Notamacropus eugenii: one gene and its partners. The protein of the gene in region 2 purifies or fractionates together with the protein of the main gene of each other region. This does not show direct contact. Links are inferred from orthologs where the notes say so. Each region holds a gene or a part of one and is shown on either strand. Other genes may lie near its edges.

Region 1 (7,648 bases), on a different chromosome or scaffold from region 2:
TGGGTGATATGTAAATTCATATTGTTTATTTCCTTAAAGCTAGCCAAAGCTAGTTTAACTTGTACGTACAAGGAGCCAAAACATAAATTCTGACTGACTGATAAAAGAATGACCAGGCTTAAATATGTTTTAGGACAATCCCAGGATGTCTGTGTCCTTCAGATTTATGGTCCCCATGTCTTTAACTATACCATGAGGGAGGAATTTTCTCAGTTGAATAAGTTGTAAATACAAATTGACAACACAATTGACAAAGTAGTGTCAGCTGGAATTTATGAACCCAGGATATCTGTTTTTCTTTGTCTCTGTATACCAAGATAAGAAAAATTTCACCACTCTGATTACAGACATCCTGTCACAAACAGGTCTTTGAAGCTGCTGACACAGGAAAGGGCATTTTTAGAGCAAAGCTAAGCATTCAGATGGATTACTTCAGGGTGTGACCCTTATTGAGGTTATTAAATTGATATTAAATGATTATCAATACCTACCCACATGAGTTGGTTGAATATTAGGTGTGTCATTTTCTCTTTAGAGAAGTATTATGAAACTCAAATAGAAACCTGGATAAAAATCTTTTTTTTAATGTGGAGTAAAGCATTTTTAATAGCATTTTATTTTTTTCCAATTACATGTAAAGACAGTTTTTAACATTCATTTTTTATAAAATTTTGAGTTCCAAATTTTCTCCTTTCCTCTTTTCCCTCCCCCCAAAAGAGCATGCAATTTGATAAAGATTACATGTATGCAATCATATAAAACCTATTTTCATATTAGCTATGTTATAAAAGAAGAAATAGTTTGCAAAAAAAATAAAATAGTTTACAAACAGAAAAACTATGGGAAAAAGTAAAGAAAGTGAAAATACATTGTTTTGACCTGCATTGAGACTCCATCAGTTCTTCTCTGGATGTGGATAGCATTTTCCCTTGTGAGTCTTTTGGAATTGTCTTGGATCATTGTATTGCTGAGAAGAGCTAAGTCAATCATAATTGATCATCACATAATTTTACTATTACTACGTACAATGTTCTCCTGGTTCTGCTCACTCCACTGTATATCAGTTCATTTAAGTCTTACCAGGTTTTTCTGAAGTCTGCCTGTTCATCATTTCTTATAGCACAATAGTATTTCATTACATTCATACACCACAACTTGTTCAGCCATTCCCCAACTGGTGCATCTCCTCAATTTCCTATTCTTTTTCACCACAAAAAAGAGCTGCTACAAATATTTTTGTATATATTGGTCCTTTTGCCTTTTTTTATAATCTCTTTGGGATACAGAGCTAGTAGTGGTATTGCTAGATCAAAGGGTATGCACAATTTGATCACCCATTAGGCATCGTTCCAAATTGTTCTCTAGAATGGCTGGATCAGTTCACAACTCCACCAACAGTGCATTAGTATCCCAATTTTCCCATATTCTCTCCAAAGTTTATCATTTTCCTTTTGTTATATTGGCCAATTTGATGGGTGTGAGAGGTACATCAGAGTTGTTTTAATTTGTATTTCTCTAATAGTGATTTAGAGCATTTTTTCATGACTATAGATAGCTTTGATTTCTTCTGGATGAATACCTTGACACCTCTGCTTTAGAGAGATCTTTCCCTTCCCAGGCCACCAGTATCAGGGGAATCAGCACTGAAAGGAAAAGACCCTGCTGCAGAGACTATTGACTACAGGAGAGAGTCCAATTTGAGTCCTCAGAGAGTACATATTGACACTAAACAATGGGTACTTTTGTTTGAAGAAGAACATTTTTTTCAAAGCACCTTTACATTTATTATCATACCTTATCCTAATTCAGCAAGGCTGCATGCTAATCAGGAAAAGGTATTTTTGTTCTTATTTTACAGAATATGAAAATGAGAAATTGTGTGCTAAATGACTTTTTCCTTTAAATCAGATCTAGGGCTCAAACACTATTCTTTGGGCTTCCAACCCCAGACTCTTTCCTTCCACTTCCCTTGGTAGTCCAGGGATCAATTTCGTTTGACTGAACAAGGGAGAAAGATATGGGCTGTGGTACTACATAGTCATTTTAACCTCCATCATCCCACGCTTAGGACAGACTTCTCATTCAATTCCTATTTGTCTTCTGAGTATTTGTACTAGGTGATATTGTGGGAGAAAGAAGTACAAAACAAATAATAGGCAGGACTGAAAATTATTATTGTCATTGAAAACAGCTTCCTCTGGTCTGAAGTCTTGTCTGGACAGTGGGCCTGAGACTACTTGAAAACTACTGGGCCTGGCTTTCATCCCTGTGGCCTCATTTACTGTCCTGAACAGCAAGAGGAAGGTAGTTCCAATGGCCAGAGCTACCTCAATGACAGTGAAGGCCAGCAGAGCTTGAATGGTCCCCTGGATGCTGGGCCTGGAGCCACTAGGTTTGAATTCTGCCTTTGATGCTTTAGATGCAGAGGTTTTCAAAGTGGGCCATACCACCCCCCAGGGGGCACTGGAATAATCCAGTAGTACTAGCCTCATAGTGTCTTGGGTGCAATTGGGGGTTATTGAATAAAAATAAAAGGGTGTTGAAAGCATAAGGAAAGAAGATAAGAAAATTTTGAAAAATGGTTGGTACATGTTTCATCTGTTGTGTAACAGAATTAATGAGATTACATTTTCCAAATATACACACAAAATGTAAGTTACAACCAATCAGCGGTCAAATCCACTGACAGGTCTCAATAAGCAAGTATTGGCATGCGAGTATATTGTGCATTGTCTGGAAGTCCAGCACGCGCTGGCAGGAATATGTGCAGGTAATGACTTGTTTACGATATGATACTATACAGTTACATAACACAATATTGCATCATCAAAATTTCAATGAAGGAAAGCCCCCACAAATTTACAATAAATTATTAAATTTAAGATGTGTCATTTAAAAAATATTTTGTATTTTTTTGAAATGACACAAATAAAAAAAGTTAAAGGGTTAAAGAAAGTAGATTTCTGGGAGGGGCACTGAGAAATTTTTTTAAAAGGGGTGATAGGCCAAATAAGTTTGGGAACCTTTGCTTTAGAGATAGGTAACTGTGGCCAAAGGGTGACTATGACCCAGTGACTTATCTCTGAATAATCATATTTGTTATCGTAGGGCGGTTGTGAGGAAAGTGCTTTACAAAACATAAGACACTATGTTAAAGTAAAAGAGTATTTTAAATAAAGCTTTAGTGTTGTTTTCCCTACTTTCGTTTAAGAGATATGGCTCACTTCCTAGATGGTCCTCAGGTCCTTGTTCATACTTCAATGTGTATTTTATTCCCCAGTTTGTAGAAGATGGATTAGATTTATTTAGCATGGCCTTAGAGAGCAGAGGTAGCAGTGAGTGGGATCTTGCTTTGATTGTGAAGCTTTTCTAACTGAACACAGCCTACAAAAATGTGATGGAGGTAGTGGGCTCCTTCCAAGTAGCTTTCTTCAGAAGGAGGTTGGATGGCCACTTGTGTCAGATGTTGTAGAGGGGAATGGGCCATCTTTTCAGCTACAAGCAATTCTCAAAAGCCATATGCTAAGTCAGAGGGGCTGAGAATCCACGGGGTGGACGAAGGGAATTCCTGCTTGCGCCTCTGAAGCTTTGTGACTCTAAGAGTCCTGGACATGAGAGACACAAGAGAAAGGGATCAGAACAGGTCTCCTGGGTAGGCCCCACCTTGGCAAGGTCAGGAGATCCCAGATTCGCTGGGACATTCATTCCTACTAAGAAGCTAACTGATCAGCCAGAATCCCATCTGCGTTGGAACGATCTTCCAGGCTGGTCAGCAGCACAGTTTGCAGTCAAACGTCGGGCCCCCTGCTGAGGGGCTCTAGAGCCGTCCTCAAGTCAGGGAGATGCGGCTTCTAGGTCCACATCAATACTGACCAGCTCAGTGCCGCAAGCACCACATGGGGCTATAAACCAAGCTAGGGCTCGGAGTCCTCCCCGGGATGGAAACAAAAGGGCAAAGTCAAGACTTCGGGGCTACAAATGTTTATCAAGCATCGGCTGTGGATAACACAGGCAGCAGTAACGCAGAAAGGTATTCGGACGAGTGCAGACAGAGCAAAGAGATATTGTCCCCCAGGCCGTAATCCACCGTAGGGAAGTGCGTGAAACGGGCCAAAAGGCCGGGTAGGCCGGTCCGAGCGCCCCTCCCTCCTCCGCGGAGGGACGACGCCCAGGCTCCAAAGCTCCCGGTAGCTTCTGCGAGGCCTGTTCCCTGCCCTTCCCTAGTAATCCGACACTAGTTGCTCCTCCCTCCTTATTATCACTCTCCTAATCCCCAGGCCCTTCACTCCCCAATATAAACCGAGTACTGCAGACTTCATCTTCAATCCATCCGTTTTTCTGAGCTAGACCGATCCTAGTTTTTCTTCTTTTGAACACAAGCTGAAGGGGGAGGGGCTGTTGGTTAGAAGCTGTTACGGGCGGGTGGAACTACAATTCCCAGAAACCTGTCCGGGACCCTAATCGCGGAAAGGGAACGCGCAGGCGTAGAAACTGAGCTTCCCCCTCTTCTCCCCCCCCCCCGGCCGCCCCCTCCCAACCTCCGACGTATGTAAGCTGCTATCACGCAGGCGCGCTCCGAACGCCGGCTTCTCTGGTCTGGCTGCTTGCTCGGTACGCGGCGGCGGCGGCGGCGGCGGCGGCGGCGGAGAGCGAGCGAGGCCTGGTGAGCGCCTCTGAAGCCGCAGGTCAGCTGTGCGGTCGAGAGAACCGGCGGACGCTTGACGCCCCCACTTTACCCACCGTTCGCTCGAGATCGGCTGCCACGGAACCAGGTGGGCGCGCGGGTGGCGGCGGTTGGGGAGGGGAAGGCGTCCGCCAGGATCCTCCCTCTTTTTCTTCCTCCCTCCCCCCTCCCACTCCGGGCTGTCCTCCCGCGGGGAATGGGGAGAGGCCCCGGGGCGGGGGCGGGGAGGGCGCGAGCTCCGATCCCTGGGCCTGTCATCTTGCGCCTTCTCCTCCTGTAGCCGCGCAGCTAACGGCAACGTTGGGGAGGCCCTGCCGGCCTGGGGCTGGGCCCTGAGGTGCTGGTCACTGTCGGGAACGCCGGCTGCGGCGGATCGGCGGCGGCGAGAGCAGCGGGAGGAGGAGGAGGAGGAGGAGGAGGAGGAAAGGGAGGAGGAGGTGTGTGTGGGGGAGGGGAGCTAGGACTGGGCGCCCGCAGGGGCGTCGACGGCGGGGAGGGCGAGCCTAGACGCGGTGCCTGCGTGGTAGATTGGGGTGGCGGGGGGCGCCGGAGGAGCTTGTCATAGGCTATGTGAGTGTGTGTGTGTGTGTGCGTGCGTGTGTGACATCGTGTTAATCCAGACAGGAAGGGACAGTCCGGGTGGGAGTTCACAAGTTCGGGCGCCCCCACCTACCCCCCGGCCCCAAAGCGGAGCGGATGGGTATTTTTGGGGGGAGGGGGGAGACAAGGCAGGACGCTGCGCTGTGGAGGTGGGGGTGGGGCGCGGCTACGGCGACAGATGTCATAACAACACCGGCCTGAAAAGGCTGACGGGGGTGTGGTAATTATAGGCATGACAGAAGCACTTGTGACTAGAACGCGGATAAATGGCGATTCGTGTGCCGGCATGGCTGGGAGGTGTGACGTGCGAAGAGTTCTGGAGGATGGTGCCCAGTGGCGGGGAGGTGGTAGAGCCCGCTGAGGGGGCCTGGGCTGGGGGAGGCAAGGACAGCCCTGAATGCTGCCCCGATTATAAAACTGGAGAAATAAAAAAATACATTAATCCTTCAAAAATTCTGTTTAAGCTCTTTAGGACAAATAATCGCAAAATACTTCTACCTCCATACTGTCTTACAGTATGATATGTCAAAGGACCATTTTACTAAGCTCTTTTTTGTGATTTAATCTATACATATGGGTTAATCTTTTTTTTGTTCTCCTGTCATTAATGGCCCTCTTTATTTTTATCTTGTTTTTGCTGTTTTTAATTTTTGAAATGATCAAGAGCTTGTTTTCTAGATCCTTTGAGTAGTAATGAATTACTCATTTTCTCATTGGCAGAAATCATAAATAACCTCATGTATTTATTGAAATAAATTGTTATACTTGCAGCACGTGGATTTCATAATATGGAGAAGGTGTGTTTTTGGACTAGAGTGGATGGAGGACTAGGGGAACTAGTAGAGCAATTGGGCAGACCATGATCCATGTCGGGGCAGAAGAAAGCCCTAAAGACTTGAGACAGGCCAGGAGGATTTGGGACTGAAGCTGATTACCTTCTTAGATTAATTTCAACAGAGCTAGGCTACCCAATCAAGCTTTCTGGAAGGGTCAGGGTGCAGTGTGAGAATACTGGATCTGGAGGTACTCCCTTTAAGGGTACAAATCACAGCCCCTTCTTACCTACCTGTTACATGCAATTCCTGCCCCTTGGACTACCGTAAACACATCACACAGAGCCTCCTGAAATGTTAAGGGCTGCCCTTCCTTTCCCTTGTTGTAATCGTGCACATGGGTTGTCAGATCAGTTACCTCTTACTTCATTTGCCCAACCTATCTTTTTCACTCATACATTCTTTAGTAACATTCTTTAATTTATTTCTCCCTATAATTCCATGTTTCTTTATTTTTTTTTGTATATTTATATAGTCTTTGCTTGTGCTCACTGCGGGCGTGCTCCGTTACCCTTTGGCTTAGTCTCATTTTCAGTTATTTGGACACTAGTGTTCAATGACACTGTTCTCACTACAACACTAGAAGAATGTTGGTATTTTTAAAATGATATTTAAAATACTCGTATTTTTAAAGGCTTAGGGTAATTAAAAGACCTTTGCAACATCTCAAAAGCAGTCCAACTTCTCTTGCTTTTCAATTTTGGGTCCAACTCATTGTCCATTTGCTGTATATGAACAAGATTTATGCTAATAGTCAAGCTATATAGATTTTCTGCCCAGTTACATATCATTGTGTGGATAATAGGGTTTTTTTTTCTACCTGTTCTTTCCTCTGTGGATGATTCAGATTTTTGAGTGATTATATTTGGCTCCAAAATGAACTATTCTATATGAAACTAAAATCCAGTTTTGAGTAAATCACTGACCTGTCCTATTTGTTTCTGAAGAATTCTAGGTTCGAATGCTGTTTATTTATTGCCAGTATTGTTCCCCTTAAGTAGTACAGGTGGCCAAGATAACCTTAATATTTGATCTGAAATGTTACTTTAGAATAATATATTTACAAAAAACACAGTAATTGTTAACTAATCTAGTGCAGTACTTTTATCAGTTACATATGTGAGGAGGAATTGTATGAAGAACACCTAAATATTACTAAATAATACTAAATAGTATGAGGAATACTTAGGAAAGGATTACGTATGATCCTTAAGTTTACCATCTGGTAGAGGAGATAAACTATACAGGCGTCAAAACATACAGATCAAAGTGCAGAAATAAATATCAGTTAAAATTTTATTATTTATTCTGCTGGAGTGAACCAGCTTGCTTATATTTAGCTTATGTTTGAGTTGAACTCTCTTCTCATCACTCCCTATTAAAATCCTTAACTTTCTTCAAGGAGCCAGTCCAGGTGTCATTTTCTACAGGAACCATTCTTGGTACCCCATAGTTGTGTTTATTGAAATCACAACTTATATTTTTACTTAGCTTAAATGTTGTATTTCTCCTGTAGAATGCAATCTTGAGT
Region 2 (6,877 bases):
TCTCAAGTTTCATCTCCTTCATGAAGCCTTCTGATTTACATTCCAGAGTCCACTGCTTTTTCTGACATACACCAACCAACTCCCCCCAATCTACCTTCCTTCAGTTACTATTAACCCAGTAATGCAATCAATAACCTTTTTCTAATGAATGTCATTAACACAGGCAAAGGCAGAGTTTGGAAAAGAATAACAAAGGGAGAAAAAGTGAAGTAGGGGAACTGAAGAAGAAACACAAAAGAAATGTATGTGGTGAAAAGTGCAGAAGTACTAACCAGTTACCTATCCCAACTTAATAGAAAGGGCTGACAGCTGGGAGAGGGGTACTTTTTACCAATGGTTCTGACATAATAATATGGGTTAACAGCTGCAATACAGCATTGTTTTGAAAAGTTACTTAATCTGCTCTCCAAAAATGTGTTCGATAGGTTCTTATTAATTACTGAAATCTGAATGAGTTGAACCTTTTGAGGGCAAAATGGGGGGTGCCTGCTCCAAGTTCTAATTCTATTGTAAGGTTTGAAGCCAATATTCATTCACCCATCAATCCCAATTTACACAAATCTGAATTCAATGAAGTGTACTTTGACGTAGAAATCAATGTAGATATAATAAACATAACAAATTCAGTGAATTATTGCAATTGTCTGAATACCTTGATTTTCTAGGACACATAGGAATATGCATCTGAAAAAACTCAAAGAACAATGAAATAAAGAACTTTCCTCTTTTAGAAACAATATAAAATATAATCTGAGGTGTGTCCTGAAGGTGAAAAAATTAAAATAAAGGTCCTATTAAAACTCAAAATGCAAAAAGAACCATTTATTATGCCAATTTTATTCAAGGAGAAAAGTAATGCAATTTTTTTCCTGCCTTTAATTCAAAGAAGAGATAAAAAATGAGGTCTAACAATATCACGGGCAAGCAAAAAAAAATATATATATATATATAAATAATTCAAAATTACCTAAATCTAAAACATAAAAATGGGAGCAGCAATAAGGGGCTGCTTATCTCCCCCTACCCAAAAAAGTTTAAGATTCCAACAATGCAACTAGGAAATTGCTAAATCTCAGGGAAATCATACTTATACTTTTCCCTCTTATTTTTCTTTAGGATTGGGGGGTGGGGGGGAACATGGGGATTAAATCAATTTACGTGAAAAACATCAAAGAACAAGCTGCAGGCACCTTTCTAAAAGCTCATGAAAACAATGCACGGTCCGTGGGACTCTTAATTGGTACAGCCACTCTCGAAAGCAACTTGGACTCCTACCCCCAAAGTTTCCGAACTGCGCATATCCTTGGGCCAAGCGATACCCCAAACCAAAAGTCAAGGAAAGAAAGAAAAGGACCCTTAGTTATAAAATAATTGTAGCCGCTCTTTCGGTGGTGCAAGCCTGGGGGGCGCCCATCTTTTGGCATGTGCACATCACCGTAATCCACTAATGAAGGAGGAACGCGTAGGTTTCAAAGAAACCTGGAAGACGTGTAGGAACTGATGCACCCCAGACTGAGCAGAACCCAGAAAACCATTTCTACAGTGACTACAACTGAGACACAAACCCTTCCAACAGTCAGAGCTCTGATCGATGCAATGACCAACAGGGATCTGAGATGATAAAAACTGTTACCTACCTCCTGGAAAAGAGAGATAGATGGAAAATAAATTGATCTCTTAGGCATAGCATTGTTTTAATTTTGCATACTTCTTACAAGGCTTTTTTTCCCCCTTCGAAAGATGGGGTTAGAGTTTTGGTCATTAAAAAGAAATTTAATTCAAGACTAAGGCAAAGCTTGTAACCACAAATAAGACGACACCCCCTCCCCTCCCCCCATTCGGAGGGCCCGTGGGGCGCGCTGTTCAGGAGCCGATTATTTACATTACGAGTCCACAAGTAGGAGATAAAAACGCGGCAGACTCGGTGAGCGCGCCCGGGGGAAGGAGCGGAAGGCTGCCGGCTCCCACACGCAAGAGTCCCCCACAAAGTAACCACCGCACACCGGAGAGGCCCGGGAGGGAGGAGCAGGGGGGGCGGAGATGGGGCTCGGCCGAGGTCGACCCAAAAGATGCAGCGCGGAGACAGCGCACGCTGCCTCCCCCGGCCCAGCCCGACCACCGCTCTCCCGCCCTGGCGCAGGCCCGCTCCCTCCACCCACGACACAGCCACCCGCCCGTGGAACTTAGAAGGCACGGCCGCGTGTCTCCGCGCGGGGAATCCCCAAGGGGGTGGGGACTCTTTAGCAGGCTACACCAAAGGTGGGAGGGGGGGTCTCCCGCACGCGGGCAGGTCAGGGCTCCGGGGTGCGGACTGGCCCCGACTCGGGCTCGACAACAGGCGGAACAGGGGCGGCGGGAGACGCTGGGCCTAGTCACGTCCGGAGCCCCCCGCCTCTCCGCCGACGCCTCGGACGACCCCTCCCCGTCCTCCCCCTTTACCTTTTCCTCCACGCAGTTCACGATGATGGACGGATACTTGCGGCTCAGCCAGCGAAAGAAAGCCGGGACTCCCATAGTGTCGGTCGGGCGCTTTTTGAGTAGGCAAGCCCGGTCCCGGGGAAAAAAGCGTAACCAGAGAGACAGGCAGCGGCGGCGGCAGAGGGCAGGCACTTCCGCCCACCTTCAGGCCGAGCGGGGGGAAGTGACGCCACGCGGCCTCCGCGGCAGAGCACGGCGGGAAAAGAGCGCCGGGGGGAGGGAGAGGAGGGAGTGACCCGACTGGGGCGGCGCCAGAAAGAGTGGGCGCAAGCCGCGCTACCCCAAAAGAGACTGTTAGGGGTTGGGCCCCCAGTCATCCCTCGTCGTTCCGGCGGAGGCCTCGCCCTGGCGGCCCGAGCTCACGGTAGATGAGGCGGGGCCTATCTGGAGCGCTTCCACCCGAGTGCCCGGCGCGCAACTGTTCCCCACCCCCGCCTTGATTGAGCGGCGCAGGTGGGAAGGAGGCCTCGGGACGGCCGCGGCCTAACCTCGCGCCCCGCACCGAGGAGCGGCTCCAGTCTAGGAAACTTGTTTGTGGGACCTAACCCTGCTGGTCGGCCAAGGAATTCGGCCATTGGGGAGGGGCCAAAAAGGACTTCTTTTGTCTGCCTTTCCGCTCATGGCGAGCCACCCTGGCCGCGCTAGCGTGGAAGCCTCAGGGATCTTTTCTGGGGGTCGAACCCGCTTTGTTTTACCTTGTTACCCCTACGTCCACCCGGAGCCTTTGAACAGTAACTTGTGGGCATCTGCGATCTCTCTCGAATAACGAAGTCGTTTTAAAGTTAAACTTGGCGATGTTTGTTTAGTTTTGAGTGGTGCCCAGTAGATAGACCCTTTGAGTGCCACTTGGGGAAATGCCCCGCCTAAGTTACAGCAGGGGTTCTGAAGCGGAGTCAAGGGAACTCTGGGTCCCTCCGGGCCCTCTCGGGGGTCGACGGGGTCAAAATGATCTCCGTAATAGTACCAAAGGTTTTAAAGCTAGATATCGAAAGCCATAACCCACGTAAACACAAAGCTCTTTGGGGTCTCGATTTTTAAGCATGTAAAAGGGTCCTGAGACCAAAAAGTTTGAGAACCCCTGAGTTACAGGATTTAGCGCTGGAAAGAAAGCATTTAGAGAATAACTAGTTCTGCTTCCGTATTTTTAAAAATAAGTAAATATGCCCGTAGAACTGAAGCGATTCGCCTCAAGCGTTGTGGCTTTAGTAGCGAGATGGGATTTAAAAGCGTGTCTAAGGACTCCCAAGTCCAGCGTTTGGGCCTTTTCTGCACTCCAAGCAAACTGCTCTACCATTCATTTTCATCTTAAAGGGACAGAATCCCCTTCTAGGTTTCTAGATATTTGTATTCATATGGTATGTATGTTTGAGCCAACGAAGTTTAAGGTTTCAAAATTTCTTTAGGCTTTTTAAATAACCGAAAACTTTTGCAGTTAATTTTATGGTAAGGAAGATGTATTTTTAAGCCATCGCAAATGTCAACAATCAGCTACTAGTTAGTCCACCCATAACGGTCTAATAAAAGCCTACTGTGTGCAGGACGCTGTGCTAAGTGCCAGGGATACCAAAAAGGCAGGAACTCACAGAAAACAAATATGTTCAAACAAACTATATACAAGATAAATAGTAACTAATTTTAATAACAAATAAGGAATAAATAATAAGAAAGACAGCTCTAGGTTAAGAAAGATTGGGAAAGGCTTCTTATAGGACTTAGGATTTTAGTTGGGACTTGAAGGAAGCTAGGGAAGCCAGGAGTTGGAGATGATGAAGACTATTCTACATACAAAGCTCTGTGCTAGGCACTAGTGATCCAAAAGCAGTCGTTCAAATTTACAATCTATTGTTGTCAAATAAGTGTTTTATTAAGTTCCTACTATGTGCCAGTCACTGTACTAAGCTTGGAGGATACAAAGAATAGCAAAAGGTAGTCCTTCCTCTCATAGTCAAATAGGACAGGCAATGCAAAATTATGTAAGATATGTACAATATTATTTGATGATAATCAGCAGAGGAAAGGCGCTGAGAGCATTCCAGGAATGAGGGACAGTCAGTAAAAATGTCCATAGTTGGGAGATGGGAATGTCATGTGTGAGGACCAGCAAGTGTCACTAGATCACAGACTTCATGGGGGAGCATAAAGAAGACTGAAAATGTGGGGATAAAATGGTAGGTTTGAAGGGCTTAGAGTACCAAAGAGAATTTTTATTCTGTCCTGGAAGTGCTAGGGAGCTGGAGTTTGTTGATTAGGGAAAAGTAGGTGACATAGTCACTTTTGTGATGTAGGAAGATCAGGGAGACCAACCAGTGGGCTATTGCAGTAGCTTGTGCATGAGGTAATGAGGTCCTACACCAGGGTGGTGACAGTGTCAAAGGAAAGAAGGAAGCATATATGAGAGATGTTACAGAGGTAAAATTGACAAACCTTTGCAACTGATTAAGTATGGGGGTAACAGTTGAGAGTCAAGAATAAAACCTAGGTTGAGGGCCTGAGTGACTAGTAGGATGGTGGTGACTGATAGGAAAAGGGGAGAATTTAGGAGAGGAAGGTAATTAATTGAATTTTGGACATGTTAAGTTTAAAATATCTACAATACACTGAGTTTGAAATGTCCCGTAGGTAGGTGGAGATGAAAATGTAGAAGGTTGGATAAGTAGATCTGAGAAGCATCAGCATAGCTAATTGAATCCATGTGAATTGATGAGATTACCAATGGAATATACTAAAGAAGACAACTCAGAACAGACCCTTTGGGGTCACCTGGGGTTAACAGGTTGACATAGATGAAGATGCAGCCAAGGAGACAGAAAAAGAGTAATCAGACAAGTAAGAGGAGAACCAGGATAGAATATTGTCGTGGAAACCTACAGACAGGAGAGTACCAAGGAAAAGAAGGTGATCTACAAGTTGGCTGCAAAGAGGTCAAGAATGAGGATTAAGAAAAGGAGAATACACAGCTAAGTATGATAGAAAATAGAATGTAGTAGGCCAAGGACATGTCCAGACTCAGTACTCCAGGAAAATTTACAGAGAAATAAAGAACATTTAGGGAGGTTAAGAGAAAGTATTATGGTAGAAGTACAACCTGAACTTAACCTTGGAGAAGAAGAAACTTTCACCATTCCAAGATGCATTCTAGTGGTGGTAGATGCCCAGTAAAATTAAGAGACAGTATAACAAGATTGAAACACACAAGTCCAATTTGATGGGAAAGTAGAAATATGGGAAGGAGGAGTAAAGTGAAACCAGCCAAGAAAGATAAGTTACCCAGAATACAGTATTCACAGTGACTGCAGCAATGTACATGGAAAGAGCAATAAACTGAAATGAACCCTGTGAAATTAAAGATCTTAGCCCTGGAGGAGAATATAATTCAAATTCAGCTTTGTTGTAAAAGTGGGAGACCGCATGTAGAATGTTGCTTGTGTTGTCAGACACGTATTGGCTTTAGTTGGCATTTTTCCTCCTTTTAAATCTTTGTTATAAGGGAAAGCTCAGTGGAAAGGGTAAAGGAAAATGTATTCAGAAATAAAATAAATGAATTTTAAAATTTTAAAAGAAAGAAACACTTAGAGAACTAGATTGTAGAGGGTATTAAAGGACCTATAGGTGTTTTATCCTGTAAATGATAAGAAGCTAATAAAGGTTTCTGAGTAGGGTCAGCAAGTCTTACATATTCAGAAAATTACTTTGGCAGCTGTATGAAGGATGGATTTGAATAGAACAGAAGTGCTGTATGCTTGCTGTGTCTTGTGTATGTGTAGTGTTTATAGAGATGGCATGTTATTTTAAATGTCAGCTTGTAAATCCAAATAAGAACTCTGAATTAATTCTAAGATACTCACATAGAATGTAAATGTATTTAGAAGGTAAAATGTATGTATGTAGAATGTAAAATCAGAGATGTAATTAAGTCCTAAACTCTTAACCAAAAAAAAAACCTCTGCATCTTTGAGTAAAACAGATGTGATGTTAAACTTTATTATCAGAAGGATAACCCATTTTAATGTTAGGTCTGCCATGAAAGTAAAGATTTTAAACACCTAAGAACTGATTTGATTGGTATTATGTTAGAAAGGAGGGAATAGGTTAGTAAAAAGAAAATTCGTAAAAATTTAGTAAACCCTGAATTAGGGAAGTTAGATCTTTTTGTTGATATAACTAACTTAAAGTTTTCGAAACATTTTACATATGTTGTCTCATTTGAACTTCACAGTAGTCTTGTGAATTAGGCCCTATTGACTTCATTTTACAGATAAGAAAACAGGCTCAGAGATGTGACTTGCTCATGGTCACATAGTTATTAAGAGACAGAGGTGAGTACAAGATAAATTAAGGGAGAGAACACTAACAAATGGGAAAATCAGGGAAGGCTTCATAGAGGCATTGGCATGTAAGT
Region 3 (6,950 bases), on a different chromosome or scaffold from region 2:
TTTTAATATTATTTACAACTGCTGCTACTAGGTGAAGACAACTAGAACGTATGTTTTCCACAAAACTAGGGGGGAAGCAATACAAAATGTCTGAAAGCCAATATTTTAGAATACAAAGATAAACTTCAGTTCATGAGCTTTCTGCAGTGACCTTTTAAACACGCTCTGGCAGCTCCTGAGGATGTTTTAAAGCTGGAGGTAAGTTTGTAGGTCTCGATTCTTCATCAAGAAGCACCAAATCGTCTATCTCACTTCCTCTGTATTTTCTTTTACATATCTTTACCACCACTTTTTTCTTGAGAAATAACTTCAGGGCTTCTCTTGATGCTACTGCTTTGGCATTCTCCTTACTTTTTCCACAGCCAGTACCCAAATAAACAGACTTGCACCTCAATTCACAAACTATACTTTCTTGAGAACTCTTATTTTGAGGCAAATCTGCCAGTTCTTTTAGTGGAACAAAAGAAACATCCAATGTTGCTTTCAGAGCCTCCACAGATGCATTTAGGAGTTCTCCATGATTCACATTGGGACTAAAGCCACCAACAGCCACCAACTTCCAAGCCACCGTTTTATACAATCTATTGAAAAAAGGTTGCTTCTGTTTTACATCTTCAGTGGTTAATTTGCAAGAAAACCTAACAGAACTCTCACTTGACTGTGAAGCACTTTTGGAAGGTAACTGTGATGTGCCACTCTTAGAAGCCAGCTGGGACACACTTGCCAAGGAGGTGCTTTTGGGAGCCAACAGCGACCCACTTGGCTGGGAGCTGCTTTTGGAAGACAACAGAGATGCAGCTACCTGAGAGCTGCTTTTAGAAGCCAACAGTGTAGCAGCTACCTGGGAGCTGCTTTTAGAAGTCAGCAGTAAAGTGCTTGCTGAGGTGGTGCTTTTGGGAGTTAACATTTGCATGCTGGATGAGGAATTGTTCTTAGAAACAGATGATGAAACGCTTGACTCCAAGCTAGTTTTGGAAGTTGACTGTGATGTGCTTACATCCGAGGTGGTTTTGGAACCTAATAGGGGCAATAATTCTGGACCAGGTTTGGAGGATAACAGTGGCAACTCAACTTCTTCGCTACTTGGGGAACCCAACAATGGTACACTTGTCTCTGACCTGCTCTGAGACATCAGCAGTGGTACTTCTGTCTCTGAACTGCTCTGAGAAGCCAAAGATGAAGTACTTTCCAAAGCACTCTTTTTAGGTGACACGTTTTGTTGTTTGCAATCAGTCCCAAGACTACTAGATCTTGCCACAGATGAAATTAGTATTGTACTATGTTTGTCTGAAGTTTCCACATCTGAAACCTTTTCAGGGCCTGCTGCAACCTGAGAAGTGCTGGTGCTTTGCTTTGACCCAGGGTTCTCAACTGTCAGATCACTGGGACTATTCTGACACTTGAGTCCTGTCACCTCTTGGGAAGGTACACTCCCCCTCTCCAGAGGGCTGCTAGAGCTCCGATTTATGTTCTCTCCACTTCCCACAGATCTAGTGGATGGCATTAGCCCCCCCTTGACTTCCTGCTTTGGTGATGCCTGCTCTGTTTTGCCAGAAGTCTTCGAAGCATCCTGACCACCAGCAGAACCACTCTTTCCTTCAACTGCCCGCTTTTTGCATGGCTCTTCTACCCCATCTAAAAATTAAAAACAAACAAAAAAAAAAATGAAAAAAGGTTATTTGACTAATTCCACTTGATTACTAGCAAGCTAGACATAAAATGCAAGAAAGATGCTTAGTAAAACAAAAGCAAAAAACTTGGTATGTATAATGCCAAGGACAAAATTACTATGTAATCATGACACAAATTTCTTAAAATGAAACATATATTTGACAGTTTAAAAACAGTCAAAGGGATTTAAAATTAAGAACCAAAGAATATGTAGAAAAAAGTTTGGAACTAGTGTCCTTAAAAAAATAACACATTAAATAGTAGTTTGGCTATGTCAGAAATACAAGTTAATATGAAACATGAGTTCACAGCACTAAAATAAACTTATGTTCTATGCTCCTATATATGTTCACATCTATGATCTGCTAACCATTGCTACTCGATATCCCTCTTTTCTTCACCTTGGCAACCAGTTCATCTCTTGTGGTATGGATTGGAGCATCTGTCACTTTGATGCCTTCAGCCATACTAAGTATTTTATCCATAACTTTGGGTGGATACCTAAAAAAAGAAACACAAGTTGACTCTTCTCCACATCACATATAAACAAGTCTTCCCATCAGCCCCCGAGCCACCGCGAGGATTCTCTGCCTCCCAAGCGGCCCAGGAATGAACGTGCTCAGGGAGGGATGGACTCCGCCTTCTCTCCTCCCCCCCGCGGGGCCTGCGGGCCATTCATCCAGCTGACCGACTGCGAACACGGATGACGTCCGCGCCACAGACCCGGAGGGAGGAGGGCCGGGAGGAGCGGGCGGGGAGCGAGGGAAGGGCCTGCGGCCCGTCTGGCTCCGGGGCTCCCCCCCTCGCTGGCCGCGTTGCCCCCCCAGGCCTCGGCCCTGCCGCGGACCATCAGGGCGGACCGGGCGCGGATCACTCACCGGCAGCCCAAGAAAATATGGTTGGCCCAGGCCATGGAGGAGGAGACGAGCTGCTGCAGCTGCCGACGGCGGTCCCCGCACTCCACCGAGGCGGCTTCGGTGGTGGCGGTCGGGGCCAGGTCTCCGGCATTGCGAAGCAGAAACTCGCGTCGGTGGCGCCAGTGCTTGTCCGTTTCGCCGTCGCTGCGCAGGGTCTCCACCCAGGCGGCCACCCGGGGATTTTGGCTTAAGTACTCGGACACTTCGGAGATGGCCGCCCGCGCCATGCCCGACCCGCTTGTGTCGTCCGTCGCCAGGGCCGGCCGGGGACAAGGGACAGGACGAAGGAGGCCCTGTCACGGAGGACTCCGGTAGCTCTCGCAACCCAGAGGACGGCCGACCAACGAAAGCCGAGCCGCAGCGCCGAAACGCCCACTTCCGCCCGCCGCCAGGCACCCCCTCTCCTTTTATAACCTCTCCGGGACTCGCGCGTCGTCTCTTCCTTCCGGCGCGAGCCCCCGCCGTCGCAGGCGGCTCGGCCGCGGTCCTCGGTTCGGGTTGGCCGAGGCAGAGGAGGAGGGCGGGGCTTAAGGGACGGCCAGCCCGTGGCGGGCGGCTTGGAACGCTGAACCCGCCCCTCGGAGCGTCCTGAAAGCCGTCAGACAGACCAATGGGCGCGTAGGTGCCCACTAGCTCCCGCTTTTGTGACGCGCCGGCGCAGAGAGGCGTTCCGCTCCCGGCCGCTGGTTTCCCTGATCCGCTCCTCCCCCACTGCGGCAGCTCCGGCGGCTGGTGAGGGCGGGGTCGTTCTGCGGCTGCTGCGTCTCCGGGCAGGCGGCGGCGAATAACTCGAAAGGGGAAGTGCAGGCCTCGACCACGGCGGCCAGGGTGCTGGGGGTGAGGGTGATACCTCAGAAGCCTCGGCCCAACGCGACCAGGGGCTCGCGGCGTCGCCTCGGCCGTCGCCGCCGTCGTCAAGGGGCGGAAGTCCGGATCCTGCCGCCGCCGCCGCCGCCGCTGCCACCCCGTCCCGCCCCGGCCGCTGGCTGACCAGCCCGCCCCCTGTCGTTACGGGCCGCCGAAGGAGGAGACCCGGATGGAGCGGGGGCGGCCCTCGTCTGCTTCCCGAGCTGGGCGGCCGGGCCCGGGGCGCCCCCTGCTGGCTTGGGGGGCCCGAACCGGACGCTTCTAGGGAGCTGCGGAAGCGGAGCAGCCTCGGTGCGCGGCCCGCCGCCCCGCGGAGACCGGAGACAGCCCCGCCGGGTGTTCATTAAAGTCAGAAGCCTTTGATCCAGCCCGGAGCGCGTAGTGGGAGCGCTCCCAGCTCGTTGGAGCTTCTTCTCCCCCCGCCGCCTCCCGGAGCGCGGACGCTAGAGGAGGCCGACCCCCGCCCTTCTCCGAGGAGCTGTGCCCCTCCCACGCGAGGGCCTTGGCTGGGAGGGATGGTGCCCTTGTGAGGCGGGCCTGGGGTCCGGAGCCTGTCTGCCGCGGTGCCGAGGGACAGAAGTACGGACGGTGCGCGGAGCCGCCGCCCCGCGCTGCCCCGCGCGCCCTGTGGACTGCCGGGTGCAGCCACTAAAAGGTGTTAGGGTGAAAGGGACTGCAGAGCCGCCCTGACGTTGGCACCCGCAGCTGACACCTGGCAGGACCGAGGCAGCCGCGGCACCCCGCCTCGGGCGGCCTGGCCTACCGGAGAAGTAAGCGCAGGTGGCGGCGCGGGCGGGCGCGAGGCGCCGCTCCCAAAGGCACCGGGAGAGGCCAGGCTAGCGGCGCGGGACTGGGGGACACGTGGTCATTGTCCCATTCAGCTGTGGGTCGGCCCTGGCCTGCCTTCAGGCTCCCGGAGGGTGTCTGGAGAAGTCCCTGCTTGCTGCACCTTAGAGAGAATGCGATTGAGGGTCTCCCGTTTTAGCCCTGACTTCCTCCGGGGAGGGGGCGTGTGCCCCGCTGACGATGGCCGCCGAGGTGGCTCAGGGTCGGGATAAGGTCACTGTGTAAGCACGGGGGACACAGGGCTACGTGACGAGTGTGTCAGCCAGCCGCGTGGTCGTTGGCCACGGCTTGGAAGGGAAACGGCGATTGCCCGTAAATGCTTGTTGACCGACCAGTTCAGTTAAGTGTAGACCTGGTTAAACCACAGCGTATCCGGTCAAAACAATTTAAGTTAACACGGGTACCACAAAGGGATGCATAACTAGCGAAAAATTGTGCTTGGGTGGTATGTTGTTCAGGGAATCTCCCAGAATTTCAGCCTGCTGATTTTGAAATGAAGTGGGCCCAGCACTCCCTTCTGAAAGGACTCAACCACACTCTCATCGCATCTCTTTCCCTGATCTCACCCGCTCATAGGATTTTCAAGTATTCCTGCCCATGCCTCCTGGATCCAGCCCTGGTCTTAGGAGTTTGAATCACTGGATGCCTTAATTGTCACTTCAAGTTCAGCTTGTCTCTTCAGCCCTTCAACCCCCAAATCCAGCCGCAGTATAGTTGCTGCTGTCCACTCAGGTTTCCAAAATACTCCCGATGTGGTCTCTTGTCAAATCAAGGAGTGGGGTACTACTCGCTCTTTATTCCTGTGACTTTCAATAGAGCCCAAAACTTCATCAGCTTTTTCAGCTGCTATAGTATATTTCAGACTAATAGTGAGATTTAGGCCATGAACAAACTCTACGTGCTTTTTCAGATAAACTGCTGCCTATGCTTCCCCCATTTAGTTACTTGTGAAATCTGTTTTTTTAGTCCAAGTGTCAAGATTGTTTAATCCAAGTGTTAAGATTTATCACTATTAAATTTCATTTTAGATTCACCCTGATGTTTTAGCTTGTCAAGATCTTTTTGGATCCTGACTGAAATCCATCATTGGGAGGAATCCCTCTCAGTTTTGTGTCATTTGGAAATGCTACCCATGATTATATCTAAGTCACTTATAAAAATGTTAAGTAGCACAAGGCCTTGGGCACTTCTCTGTCCTCCTAAAGTAAATCATTGATAACTACTCCTTGAATACGTTCATTCAACCAGTTCTGAATCTCTTTGTATTATCATCTAGTACACACATCCATCTTTTCCACAAGAATTGCTTGAGAGACTTTGTCAGATACCTTTCTAAAATTTAGGTAAACTATGCCTGTAGCATCCTGCCCATCTACCAGTATAGTTGCAATGTCAAAGATAATAAAATTAGTCCGGCATGAACTTCTTTTGCTGTTGTAGTAAGGGAGTGGCAGAATGCTAACTAGGAATTCCAATGCCGGGTAGGTAGCTAGTCCTGCTAGCTACTCTCCTGGGAGGCAAGGGGGGAGGGGAAGGAGTTGCTTAAAGTTTACCTCTTTCTGCAGTTTTACTGTTTGCCCTGTAGAATGCAATTCTGAAGAACAACACCCTGGGAGGTAGCAGCAGGGTAGGGGGTGACGGGAAGGCAGGATCCAGAAAAGTAATGGGATCCCCTGTTCTGCAGTAGCCCTAGGCAGTCCTAGAGGAGGTAAAGTTGGTGGGATGGAGTCAGTCACGTCTTTCAGATAATCCCTTAGTGGATGCTGCAGAGGGGGGAGTATGTATGAGGGGGTGAATATGGAACCCTCCAGGTGAAGCAGTACCTGGTAACCTCCCAGGAAGGGTGGGAGCATGGCAGGGTAGAGAACAATTGTATTCCTCAGTCCTATTCACTACACTTTATTGGGAGTTGCAGTAGAAGCCAGAGGTCCAGCACTCTTGTAGTGCAAAGTGGCCTCCAGGAAAACTATTGGATCCTAATGATGCAGTGGCATCCAACAGCCCCAGGTAGCAGGGGACAGGCCAGGGTCAGGGAAAGGGGTGTGTCAATAGGATGGGAGACACCAGGAACCCTCATAGTGGAAGTCACACAGACTGGACCAGCCTTTACAGCAGACACCATCTGAAACTGCTTCGATAAAGGTAGACACCAACTGATGTCCCCTCACTGGGATCCTGTCTCAGTGGGTTTCTTGAGGTAACTAACTAGAATCCAACTCAGAAGAATATTAGAAAAGGCAAATTACTTTCTGACATGACTGTGTAGGTTCTCTTAATTTGTAGTGACGTCTTTAAAAATGAGATAAAACCTGAGTCTTTCTTGAGTGTAGTATTATTGGAGTAGAGATAGAGGGCACCTCAAAACTACAGAGGCCAAAGAAGTCGTTCAATGACATAGTTTGCTGCCCTAATTCATCCACAGTGGATGCCTCTTGGAATCTGACAAATAGAACCAGTTGTATACTTCATTTCTGCTACCCACAGAGAGATGCAAACTCTTATCCCTGCGCTAGGGAATCCCTTGCATTTTGGGAAAGACACAGATAAGACAGATAGATTTTAAGGAAGTCATACCAACATACAGACAATTAGGGAGGAAAAATCGCAGTACTCGAAGTAAGCAGGTTTTCTGGCTCACAGTCCCGGGAG

Evidence for each region.
Region 1: the proteins of XRN2 (region 2) and KPNA1 purify together in Homo sapiens (affinity purification with mass spectrometry; 4 studies listed by BioGRID and IntAct, with this or other methods). This does not show direct contact. The link is inferred for Notamacropus eugenii from reciprocal best matches to the Homo sapiens genes XRN2 and KPNA1.
Region 3: the proteins of XRN2 (region 2) and CDKN2AIP purify together in Homo sapiens (affinity purification with mass spectrometry; 4 studies listed by BioGRID and IntAct, with this or other methods). This does not show direct contact. The link is inferred for Notamacropus eugenii from reciprocal best matches to the Homo sapiens genes XRN2 and CDKN2AIP.

The regions. Positions count from the first base shown.
Region 1 is NC_092876.1:342,693,809-342,701,456, forward strand, and holds the start of KPNA1 (importin subunit alpha-5), read left to right. Parts: upstream 1-4,643; 5' UTR 4,644-4,772; intron 4,773-5,014; exon of another isoform or gene 5,015-5,121; intron 5,122-7,648. UniProt on the Homo sapiens protein: Functions in nuclear protein import as an adapter protein for nuclear receptor KPNB1. Binds specifically and directly to substrates containing either a simple or bipartite NLS motif.
Region 2 is NC_092872.1:597,031,956-597,038,832, reverse strand, and holds the start of XRN2 (5'-3' exoribonuclease 2), read right to left. Parts: upstream 3,015-6,877; 5' UTR 2,515-3,014; coding exon 2,440-2,514; intron 1-2,439. UniProt on the Homo sapiens protein: Possesses 5'->3' exoribonuclease activity. May promote the termination of transcription by RNA polymerase II.
Region 3 is NC_092878.1:101,852,183-101,859,132, reverse strand, and holds the start of CDKN2AIP (CDKN2A-interacting protein), read right to left. Parts: upstream 3,006-6,950; 5' UTR 2,816-3,005; coding exon 2,550-2,815; intron 2,173-2,549; coding exon 2,042-2,172; intron 1,636-2,041; coding exon 155-1,635; 3' UTR 1-154. UniProt on the Homo sapiens protein: Regulates DNA damage response in a dose-dependent manner through a number of signaling pathways involved in cell proliferation, apoptosis and senescence.